3 linked regions of the Bombyx mori genome follow. The protein of the gene in region 3 purifies or fractionates together with the protein of the main gene of each other region. This does not show direct contact. Links are inferred from orthologs where the notes say so. Each region holds a gene or a part of one and is shown on either strand. Other genes may lie near its edges.

Region 1 (4,077 bases), on a different chromosome or scaffold from region 3:
ATAGGGTGCATGGTAACAATAGTAATCAAAATTTTATGAACAGATATAACTAGAAGGGTTATTTTGATAATATTCCGAACAGCGCTTTTTTTTTTTACAATAAAATCTTTTTTTCTTACACTACCTATTTATAATTCAAATTTATTAATTTTTATTTTTTATTCTTAGTTGGATTTTGTATAAAAGCGTATTTTTTTGTTTTTTTTTTAACTATTATTTATTTATTCTGATTCTGAATGTACTTGTTCTTGTCTCGTACCCCTTTGTAGTTTTGTGTTTTGTTATCAAGTAACTCCCACCCAACAAACAAGAGTCCAAACCACACCAAAAGACATCTGGGCACAACCAAAATCACAGACTCTATAATACTGGATTTTCGCGAAATCAAAAAGGACCACCATTAGAAAAGAAATTGAATTGAATTATCAAATAATTTTGAATCGATTTTTTTTTATTGACTGGACAATTAATGCAATTGGATCTTTTAATATTGAGTCATTATGCTATGATAATCTCACCGTACAACAGATCACGATCATCACGTCTTATTCTTCCTTCATCTCTATCTCTTCTTCGGAGCTCCTGTTCAACTGCCACACGGTCTCGAATGGACATTGCATCGTATTCATCATCATCAAGGTCTTCATTATCATAGCGATCCAGCGCGGGCATAGGACGATAATCACTGGAATAAAAAAATACGAATTTTTAGTCTTCAAAAACAATAATGGATATATTAATAAAATTATTCTCATAAGTGTTGTGTTGGCAGTATTTGATATTTGAAAATAATTTACTGTTTGATTGCTGGTTCTTAATAGTTGAATTTGAATACAATTTATACAGTCTTGAAGTCTGCACCGCAGTCTGACTCCTGGAATACTTATATCATCTAAAGGTGAGTGGCTACATCCACATAGTGATATCCATAACCACTTAACACCAGGTGGGTCATGAACTGGCTCATCTGTCTAAATAATGAATAAAATTAATTGTAATTTATATGGTGTTAGATTTTTTCAAGAAATTGCTGTTTTTATACTTTTTGTGATAATCACAATGAATTGTAATCTTGCTTTGAAAGAGTAAACATTTTTGAAACACAAGGCTATAAAATGATATGTTAAAAAACGTCTCTTTGAATAAATTTCAATTGTGAATTATCTATGGATGCATAATGTTATGGTGTACAAAGTTAAGTTACAAAATACATACGCTTCCATATTATCATTGAAAAGTTCCTCTCCATCTTCTTCTTCCTCAAGAGGATTATCACCGAGTATAGCCCCCTCATCTTCAAACATTTCATATTCTCTTGCTGGTGATGTCATTCGTGATTGAGCTCCTTCGCGGTCTGAAGGTGTGTCTGGGATTGGAGAACTCTGGAACATAAATATTCATTCAAATGTTGAACATGGCTATTACAGGACTGTACTCCTAAAAAACACAATTGTACTGTATTGTTAAACTGGGTATTTAAATACCATTCATACAAGTCATCAATGCAATTAAGAGTCACGGCCCACCAGATGTTCAGTGGTTACTGGAGCCCATGGTAAAGTAAGATTACCTACCTGTCAGGGCTTACAATACGAAAGATATTAGAAATTGTTACATTTAATGAACATACCTATCCAATTTAGATTTATCGTAAATGAAATACTGTATGAACTCAGCACTTTATAATCATTTCTAACTAGCGGCCCGCTCCGGCTCAGCTCGGGTCTTTAACCAAAAATTCAACAGTATTTGAAGTTGTTTTATTTTTTTAAATAAAAGAACACTTATTACGGCATAACTATAATAGTTAGACATATGCTATCGCGACGCTTTTTGTAAATAATAATGTGTTCTACAAAGTCGTAGTACATTATTTTATTCTATCATCAATAGTTTTCGCAGGGCACGCGATGTAAAGAATATTTTAGGTAATTTTTTACACCTTCGGTTACATTATTAGAGTTTTAGTAAGGATCCCAAATTTTTTTCAAAAAAAGATTATGCCTATGTCACTCGGGAATAGTCTAGCTTCCAAACAGTGAAAAAATTTTTCAAATCGGTTCAGTAGTTTCGGAGCTTATTCAATACAGACAAACAAACAAATATTTCCTCTTTATAATGTATAGAAGTATAGATAATTGTAGGACAGAACAGTTCAATTTGTGAAAGAAATTGTTTTTTTAATATATATGGGTAACGAAATCACAGCGTTTAAAATTTGCAAGGTTTGAAATAAATTAATTTGGGTTTTATTAAACATGTTGGAGTTTGTATATAAATGTAATGGCAGGCAACACTTGACACATGATTACAGATTTCGAATATTAGAATTATTTTAAATGTTTAAAAAAAACAGATGATTGTATTCTCGTAAGAAAATGTCAATACTTCTCATCTAGACACGGCAAGAGAAACATGTAATAGTTTTATAAAAAAAATATAAAGTAAATAAGTTTATAATGCTGTAAAAGTGTTCAAGCTATCTGCAATATAATTATAATGAAGCAGTTGTGTTTTTAAATAGCCCCTCATCACCTACAGAACCCAATCCCCTCAAATTTAACCGTCCAACAAAACATAAAGACACGAGTTCGTAGTTTGTAAACAAATGGAGAATTGTTTTATTTATTTATTCAAATACTTACCATTTTGTTTAAAGTAAGCAATTAAACGATCACACAATCACAAACAATAGTTTAAACAAATTAATTAAAGACTATAAACTAATAAAATGTACAAAACAAATAAGGCGGTTACAGTTACAAAAAAACGTAGGTTATGTTTATGAACCTTTTTTTTTATAAATTTTACTGACTTGGAAACAAAGTCTTTTAAGCCAGTTTATGAAGCTTAAGGCGTTAATCTTATTTTATATGTATCTTCATATATTCTCTAACTTTCCTAATCTCTCCCATGCGAATCAGTTAAAAATTTTTTGATTACTTAGTTTCCCAAGCGTTTATTTTGCTTTGTGGCAAATACGCAAGCCGAGCGAGCCAAAATCAAACAGAAGAAGAAGAAGAAGCTTAAGGCGGAGGACCATATATTTCTTAACAGTTTGGTCAATTTTGACAATTATTTAAAATATGATTTAATTTTGTATTTTAAAAATATGCTGTAACTATGTCTCTGCACATTAAATAAAAAAAATGGCTTTAATTTTATTCAGCAATGAATCTTTTTTCAGCGTACAAATAAGGGAAAAAAATCAACAATCTTAAAGCTTATGGACTACATTCCCTTTGTCATTTGGAGAAGAACATTGAAAAAAGCGTTTTCACTGTATTTCCGTCAGTCACTATTGACGGTTAATCTATTTATTTTGTGGTTATTTCGTAATGACAAAAACTTGTATAAGACGGTTGATAATGAAACATGGCTAAATACATAGCTCAGATAATAGTTTTGGGCGCTCAGGTTGTAGGTCGAGCATTCGCACGCGCCTTGAAACAAGAAATAGCTGCATCCCAAGAGGCAGCGAAGAGGGCTGGCGGTGGACCCGAAGGAGCGCGGAGAGCTGCTGCCAATGCTTCCACAGGGTTGACTTTAGAAGAAGCAATGCAAATATTAAATATAGAAAAAGTAGACCCCGAGAAAATTAGTAAAAATTATGAACACCTTTTCGCCGTAAACGACAAATCGAAAGGAGGTTCGTTTTATTTGCAATCGAAAATCGTAAGAGCGAAGGAGAGATTAGATGCGGAACTAAAACAAACATCACCCAACTCCGAGCAGGGCCCGTCTAAAGACACTTCATGAGACTCGGCTGTGATTTAGTGTGTAGTGATTAAAATTAGTAAATTGATTTTCCTGTAAAATATGTTTATTGAGTACAAACGCCCACAATAGTGACTAGAATACATCAGTCTTCATAAACATTGATTATGCTTTAATACAAAATTTCATTGATATTATATTGCTGTAGAAAGTTTAATACAATCAGTTACATTACTTGCTAAAGCATTGTTACTTTTATTGTTTTAATAATCAATAAATTATTGCTAAGCACAACTTTTTATAATTTTATATTGTACATTAAACTACCTGACACATTTTTTTTGCATTTTCAGTAGCCAA
Region 2 (4,265 bases), on a different chromosome or scaffold from region 3:
TCCTATTGCCACTCGTCAGGATATTGAAACGAAGCCGAAGAAGAAATAAGCCATAAAATAATTGTATTGTTATCGGGTCTTGATGCGTGTAAAATTTTTATTTATTAATCAGACGTGTTGACGACATTGAAAGATTCCGTTACATACAAAGGAATGTACACATACATATCAAGCTAATAAAAGCGTGATAGAAATTAGATAAATCGCATCAAACACTAAACAGTGGAAAATTATCAGTTATAAATCCTGTGATGCACCGTAGAAGCGAGAGTCGTAGAGTACTTTTTTTTTATTGGCCTTGTAGCAGACGCGCATACGGCCTACCTTATGGTGAGTGGTTAACATCTACTGGTTACTACTGGTTATAGAACCTCTTTTGAGTCCGTACGGGTAGGTACCACCATACTGCCTATTTCTACCGTGAAGCAGTAATGCGTTTTTGTTTGAAGGGTGAGTCAGCCGTTGTAGCTGTGCTGACACCTTGAACTCATATCTCAAGGTAGGTGACGGCATTTACGTTGTAGAAGTCGTCGTGGCCTAAAGGATAAGACGCCCGGTGCATTCGTATCGAGCGATGCACCGGTGTTCGAATCTCGCAGGCGGGTACCGCCGCTAGTTGTGGGTATAACGACGAAAGGAAAGATCTTGCACCGAGCGGGTGAGATTGCCCGGTAGACCGATGGTCTGAATGTTGTAGTTCGGAACTTGTATTTGAGGCCGTCAGCGCAAAAGTGGCCTAACCCACAATTTTTTATATTCAAGCTTATATATATATACATATACATATATTGGAATTTATTTAAAATTTAATAAATTTTGATGCAAAACCGGCCTATCCATAGTTTCACCCATAGATAATAGATAGCTTTGTAAACATCATTTTTACGCGTATGGTCTTTTTGTCTACTCAAATTTAAATTCATGAAAATTCAAACCTAGTTGCCTCCATACTAACTATAGTAAGCTTAGGCCACTTTCGCGCTGACGGCCTCATTTATGCAAGCTTGAAAATGTCGCAAGCGAGATTCAGGCAGATATCTTGAGTTATATGATGGCTACCGCCACATACTATTTCCTTTAGGTTCACAGTTCAGAAAATGTTTATAACTTACCTTCATGAACTCACTGATGTAATTTCCCATGCAGAATGTCATATCGCCGATCTCGTTGGACCCACTCCCGGCGGAATCCTCGAAGTTGCTGTCACAACTAATCGGAGGCAGGTCATCCAGCATGTTGGTCCGTCGCGAGTCTTCGTCAGTTTCCATTATTGTACCTGCGACAATAAAACCGTTTATTTACAGCATTACGATGCATTTTCGTTTGACGTAAATTAGCCGCTGTTTCCAAGGAATTTTTGATAAACGTCAAGTCCGTTGACATCATAATCAGATGCTACCTTGAAACACCGGGTCGAACCGGATAAACATTTTTGTTTTTTTTTTTGTAAAAAAAAACACAGGAAATACTATCGCCGTGCCTTGTTATAAATAAATAACTACTTTATAAACATTTTGGTAGCCTAAGGAAATATTCCAGCAACACTATGTAGGTAGTTGGTGAGTTTACTGGGTTCAAGTTCAGCAAGTGTGCTAACACTGGCTCTAGCAAGAACAGTGCTTCGCAGAATTACCACCGGATCGGAATCGCGAATCATTGAGAAGATCCTACTAGATACTCAGTGGGTTATTATTACATGCAATGTATGTAAATTCGATGAATAACGTTAAAAATGGATACATTACAATTTACAACAATTTAATATCGTCTTAGTAATCCTAGCAACTCCAGTAGATCATAAATTATCAAACGGTACCTTTCTTTAAACTGTTACCTATATGATGTCGCGATAAACCCCATTTTGGTAGCCACAAATTCATTATTACTAAAAGTTTTGCTGTTTTATGTTTTATTTGTGATGTTTCGGTAGAGTGAACTGTTGTAATTTACCACTTGAGTACATTTTAAAATTGGCGGTGTTATTTTAATGAACAAAAAAATTTGCGTGTAATTAGTATTTAAGACGTGAACCGTACTATCTGTCTTACTATGGAACTATAAAACTATGGAGAAAATCTGTTATTCGGCTTCAATAAAAACGAATTCCACATGATCATGAGTGCTCTGCAAAGAACAACCGACTATGATGATGATGACAGTCTTACGCTTATTACTTTTTAGTTTAAGAATGACATATTTTTTAAGTACCGATGTAGCTCACGTTATTTACATTTTATTTAAAAGCACAAAATAGGCTTCACAAAATAATGGTAAAACTAACACTTAGTTCGTCTCAAACAAAGATAACAAAATTATTTCATGTTTAATTTTACTTTTACTAATTCTACGTTTAAACTTTTGTTTCATTAGGGATTTTTTAACAAAAATAAACATTAAGTTTATAACTTTTTCTGCAATTGAAAGATTATATATTCTGTCTGTTTCACTTCACAATTGTACATGAGCAGAGTATCAATTGAAGAGCGTCAGAGGTTATTAAATCTTAAATTCGCTAGATTGAGATCGATAAAGATATAAAACACAACCGCTTTGTAGCTTTCAATTTATTTACTTCTCGTACCATTTTTAATACTGCAATTCCCACATCGGCCAGTACAAATTGTAACGGCATCAACCTTCATCACTGTAATTTTACAAGCACTTCACTAGATCACAATTTTATCGACTTTATACACTGCATATCACAGTATTCCATTTGTTTATCTAGAACAACCGACGCAGTCGACTACGGGTAGATATCTCTCACCGACTGTCGACGCTTACCTGATTTGGCTTCGACGTGTTCGTCCCGTGGATCTTATCAAGCGACGTCACTGTTATCACACCGAATCACAAGTACCCAGTACAATATGACGTATTAACGACTAGGAGTGGGTAATATCGGTTTTGCCGCGTATCGAATCGTATCTATATATCGAGGATCAATATCGGATATTGAATCTATATATTTTCTGAATCTATATATTGATGGAATACCCCAGAACAACTTGGCGTCGCTCGGTGGAGCAGGAGCTAGGGGTCTTGGGCATGACGTGGGAGGAGCTAGAACAGACTGCCCAAGACCGATACAAATGGAAAAATTTGATTCGAGCCCTACACCCCAGCAGAGGGTAATAGGAAAGCATGATGATGCTGATGATGATATATTGATGTATGCTAGTAGATTTTCTCGATTCATGATATTTGAGATTTGAAACGATACGCTGATATAATATCGTAGTAGATATAGATTTAAGTCAACGTTATACGGTTGGTTTTCTGATATCAATTTATAATATGATCTTAAAGTAATAAAAATAACATGAAAATAAAAATATCAAAAAAACTTTCCTTCATGCTTTTACCAGGCTTAGGACTGGCTACATTATTTTCAGTTTTTAGTATTTTGTGTCTTAATTTAAAATTACAAAATATACCAAAAGAGTGTAGATTTCAAAAGTTTAATACAAACACAAGAAATAAACTCAATTATTTGGATTCAACTAAAAATAGAAAAATGTGTACTTTAAAAATCAAACACAAAAAACTTTTAAGTATTTATAAACACTTGTCCAAAAATTCTAGTTCAAGGTCAAAGCGCGTGAAATTAAATTCAACGATGCAAATAGGCTATACTGCATTCAAGTTAGGGTCGAAAGTTGAAACTTCTTTCCTTAATTGTATCCTGCTGATACGCTAAGAATAATCTACAGACATATGGACTTAAATATAAGGTTTACAATTGTATGGATAATGCCTGTTTCTGTTTCATTCATCACATGATATCGTGCGCTCACTCACTCTGGCCGATTCGATACGAACCAAACGAATATTGCTGATATTAACGAATCGGTACGATATGCCGATGCGCATCACATCGAGCAATATCGTGTATCGGCTGATATCGAAATATAGATTTCGATTCACGAATCGGTCCGATATGGCGATGCGCATCACATCGAGCAATATCGTGTATCGGCTGATATCGATATATAGATTTTGTGCGGGGCGATATCGGATTCAACGATATTGCTGCGATATATAGATATTGAATCTATATACGATTTATATCACCCACTCCTATTAACGACGGTACGCTTACTCGCATTTCAAATTTGAGCCGCGGTTAGTACGCTAGACTCTACGCGATGCACGTATCAAATTCAGAGAATACACTTTTTTTTCGTATCAACCTTCTTAGCGTGCCATTTATGGTATTTATATGAACTAAACTAATTTAATTATGGCATTATTTTTCCGGTTTA
Region 3 (4,011 bases):
GATAGAAGTCACTTTTATGTTAAGTCAATTACACATGAGATTGAAACTTTAAAACGCTCTCCTGTAAGCCATCATTTTTGACATGACCCTTTGTATGTAGGAGCAGTCGATTTATGGCTATGAGTTTTTACTTTTTGGGTGTGATAGATACTATGGCTGGTCGGATACTTCCATTCATATTCTAAACTTTAGATAAATTTTATTAGTACTAATGGTAGATTACTAGGTTTTTCAAGACTGCATTGATATGGATGGTGATAACCATTTTGATTATTGTCTACCAAAAAGTAGTAATGACATCAAGGTTGAAGGGTGTGACAGCTACAACAAAATACAAATAAGGCTGAGTGTTAGCAATCACATTGTAGTCCATGAGCTCCAGTAACCACTTAACACAAAGTAGACAGTGATTTTGTACGAGCAAAAAAAATATGCAATTCAATTAGCTAGATACCTTGATCAACACTATTTGAAAGTAATGGATTGCAATGTTCCAATTTTTGTACATGAACAGCATGCAATCGTGGTACTAAGCTTGGTGGAGGATTATGAGTTATAATTTCGACACTACTCTCAATCTGGAGCTCTATCATAGAATCCTTATCTTCCTTGAATTCGCCTGATAGGGATGGATCTACAGAAAGAAATCCAATGACTTCTATCATGTCATTGAGCTTGAGATTTTCATTGTCACTGTAAATCTGAAAACAATTTATTATTTAGTTTCATAACCAAAGCTTTTCATTTATTAACTACTACTGCTATGTGGATGGAAACAATATTATTGGATTTTCTTATACCTTAACAATGCAAGATTTGCTAGGTACATCAGGTAGAGGATAATTTAACAAATGTTCTCTTGAAACCACATCAGGTGTATTATCTTTGTGATCTAAAATCTTCATTTCCTTATTCACAGCTTCATTATCAACTTCCATTTCATCCAAATTATCTTCTGTATCATCGTAGCTTCTTTTTAACTTTGTACTTGGGTGAAGCCTTTTGGAAGTATTTGGTGGTTCTTCTAAATGTTTCAAATAGTTTTGTTTATCTTCTAGTTGTTGGACCCAGTCATTTAACCCAGGTATAGACACAACAACTAAAGTCTGTCGCTGACCACTGATTAGGTTCTCAGAATAGTTAATTTTCTCATTTTCCTGAAACATTTTATATTGATTTAATTTACTATAATAATGAATGTTGTAAATAAATTCTGCCCTTTATAAGAGGGGAAAGGAAGATTTTCTTGTAAATGCACATGAAGCCCAATTAATAGATTTCATTTCATATCATAACATAATGTTTGTCAAACATTAACAGAAATATCAACATGTTATATTTTTGTTTAAAAGTACATGCACACAATTTATATAGTGATTTTAGTCAACGTTTATTTTTAATATTTTTTATACGCACACTTAGCTATATCTTAAGCATTTAGGTATATTAAGCATATGGTTGCATGAACAGCTTTGATCTTAGTAATTCTTCCATTTTGGTTTTATTTTTAATGCTTTACATAAAAAGGATCTTACAAGCACTATCTCAGTTCTTCCAGGAAGTTAATATTAGAAATATTACAAACTTAATAACTTAGTTAATAGTTAGTTAAAAGTTAATAATACTTTTTAGCACTAAATGGGAATGAGGTGTAAGCTCCTGACATTGTATTGTCAATCAGCAACTATCTTGTTTCATCAGTTCCTCTGAGAAGTGTGGCTTATTTTGGAATTAGTGGTAGATATTTAAATAATTAAATTGATTATTTTAACTGATCCTGAAACTAGCTTTAGAGATGCCAATAATTCATGGTGATAGTCTATCATGCATATGTCTGTTGCGAAGAGGCTCTTGCTCTAGGAGAAAGTTGTGACTTTGACCGTACATATTCAACAAGTGAAAAAGTTAATTTGAATGGGCAGCATTTCAGTAGTAAATTTAAAAAAATCATTATAATTAACAATTTTTGTGGTTTCATTCTCTTTCTTCCTGTATCCAAGTATTCGGATTTTCGGAAACAATGACAGGGAATATTCGCGGTGTATATTTTTTTGCAGACTTCTTAATGTTCGGTCCTTACCAAAACATGTGCAGTATCTCTGTATTTTCCACTTTTAACCTTTACTTCATTTGTTGTTGTGTTAAATACTTCAAATTTCTCAAAGTAAAATTCAGGGTTGTGCATGTCTTGGATCATGCCTCTGAACCGCACTAAGTTTCCGTCTGTTAAATTATGTGAAGCATTTGAATTAATTAGTGGGATCTGTAAGGTCAAATAAAGGACAAGTTAATAAATTTTACAAAAATGATTTCTGTTTTATGATAAATTCCGTACCTGGTACCAATTTGGTAATTTCATCAACTTGCTCTTCATTATTTTTTCATTCTCAATCCATCGATCCGGCGTCGTTGTTTCGATATCGCTCATGATATTTTCATGCATGATTAGAAAATTTATTCATTAATACTATTATCGTGTGTTATGTTTTGGTTGTTATACAATAAACTGAATCAGAATTTATTAAAGTTCAGTCTCATCAATGATACCGCACCGTATTGCACTTCTTTTTTTGTGGTTTTTGTTAACTTTACTTTACTCTTTGAAACATACTGAATTTTATTAATTAGTGAAAAATCTATGTTAAGGGTTTTGAGTTGTACGATATTGAACATGTATGTATTACTTAGATATTGTAATAACTTTGTTATTTAATGTACGGTACGGTACGATAATGAAAGTGAAAATTTTGAAATTATGCAAATTTTTTACAGAGAATCACTTGGTTTATTTATTATCTATGACTTGGTAAAATACCTACTCGACGTTTTGGCGGGAACGCTAGGAGTGAAGTTGTGTGATTTGTTTTATTTTGTATATTTAGTGTTTCTTCAGGTTTAAATGTGGAATAACGGTGGTTTATTAACTGTTTAATATCTGCAAAAGTGCACAAGGGTGGGAAAATGAAATAAAGCCGCTGGACGTAACTTCTCGGGATCCTCCAAAAAGTCCGCTGAAAAAATCTCAGTAAATGACCACTATTTTACTGAGATTATATTTCATCCCATATCATCTCGTTTCATTTAATTTCATTCCAGTTGATTAATCTCCCAAATTAATCATTTTCATTTACTTGACTTAAAGATCTTAGTTACCAGGTCATAAAACTCCATAAATAATACCTACTCTCCATAGATAATACCTTAGATATTTTTTTTTGTACAAATTTTCCTTATTTGGAAAGGCAAGGGGATCTAAGCCCATACAGCCTATATACCATAGATACTTGATAAGTATTGGAAGACTCTCGGTACAGGTAGACAGTAAATGTAGATCTTTGATTATTTTAATTTAATTAAAAACAGTGCTACAATACTTTAACGTTCTCACAAACTCTAGCTCTCAATGCTAAAATACTAGCCCATTCCCAATCTCTGTGGGTATACACCAAGGCTCGGCTCTGAGTACTTTTTTGTTCAGTGTACTACTAGACTAACTAGACGACGGAACCGACGGAACGATAAAGATAGATGACGAACTTGTCGTAAAGACAAGTAAATTCAAGTACTTAGAGTTTGTGTTTCACGAGTTCGAGTAACGAGCGTCCTGTGCAACCGCAGGGTTCCGGTAAAGCTAAAAGGCTTCGTGTACAAGTACATCATTCGACCAGTCCTATTCTATGGCAGCGAATCATGGCCGGCCTTCGTAAGACATGTTTCGAAACTGCACGTTACTGTAATGAAGCTGCTGCGGTTGATGTGTGGCGTTACACGACTAGATCACATTCCTAACGACTACATCAACGGCAGCGTTGGAGTTCATAACGTAGCAGATGAGCTGCACGAAATTCATCTACGATAGTACGGCCATATAAACCATAGGACCCCAGACTACGTCGGAAATAGATACCTCAACTTCTATGTACCAGGTTCAAGATCCCGCGGTAGGCCCAAGAAATGCTGGTTGGATGTGGCAAAAGCAGATTGGAGGAGAATAACCTCGCCCAGAAGGAT

Evidence for each region.
Region 1: the proteins of uncharacterized protein LOC100286771 (region 3) and DNA replication licensing factor Mcm2 purify together in Homo sapiens (co-immunoprecipitation; 6 studies listed by BioGRID and IntAct, with this or other methods). This does not show direct contact. The link is inferred for Bombyx mori from reciprocal best matches to the Homo sapiens genes MCMBP and MCM2.
Region 2: the proteins of uncharacterized protein LOC100286771 (region 3) and kelch-like ECH-associated protein 1B purify together in Homo sapiens (affinity purification with mass spectrometry; 3 studies listed by BioGRID and IntAct, with this or other methods). This does not show direct contact. The link is inferred for Bombyx mori from reciprocal best matches to the Homo sapiens genes MCMBP and KEAP1.

Annotation. Positions count from the first base shown.
Region 1 is NC_085113.1:10,833,254-10,837,330, reverse strand, and holds the start of DNA replication licensing factor Mcm2, read right to left. Parts: upstream 2,803-4,077; 5' UTR 2,649-2,802; coding exon 2,646-2,648; intron 1,383-2,645; coding exon 1,216-1,382; intron 686-1,215; coding exon 519-685; intron 1-518. Other genes in the region: mitochondria-associated granulocyte macrophage CSF signaling molecule, read left to right, coding at 3,376-3,759. UniProt on the Homo sapiens protein: Acts as a component of the MCM2-7 complex (MCM complex) which is the replicative helicase essential for 'once per cell cycle' DNA replication initiation and elongation in eukaryotic cells.
Region 2 is NC_085128.1:13,280,813-13,285,077, forward strand, and holds the start of kelch-like ECH-associated protein 1B, read right to left. Parts: upstream 2,803-4,265; 5' UTR 2,643-2,802; coding exon 2,582-2,642; intron 1,277-2,581; coding exon 1,113-1,276; intron 1-1,112. UniProt on the Homo sapiens protein: Substrate-specific adapter of a BCR (BTB-CUL3-RBX1) E3 ubiquitin ligase complex that regulates the response to oxidative stress by targeting NFE2L2/NRF2 for ubiquitination.
Region 3 is NC_085117.1:15,219,698-15,223,708, reverse strand, and holds the start of uncharacterized protein LOC100286771, read right to left. Parts: upstream 2,801-4,011; 5' UTR 2,444-2,800; coding exon 2,336-2,443; intron 2,264-2,335; coding exon 2,081-2,263; intron 1,158-2,080; coding exon 801-1,157; intron 702-800; coding exon 455-701; intron 1-454. UniProt on the Homo sapiens protein: Associated component of the MCM complex that acts as a regulator of DNA replication.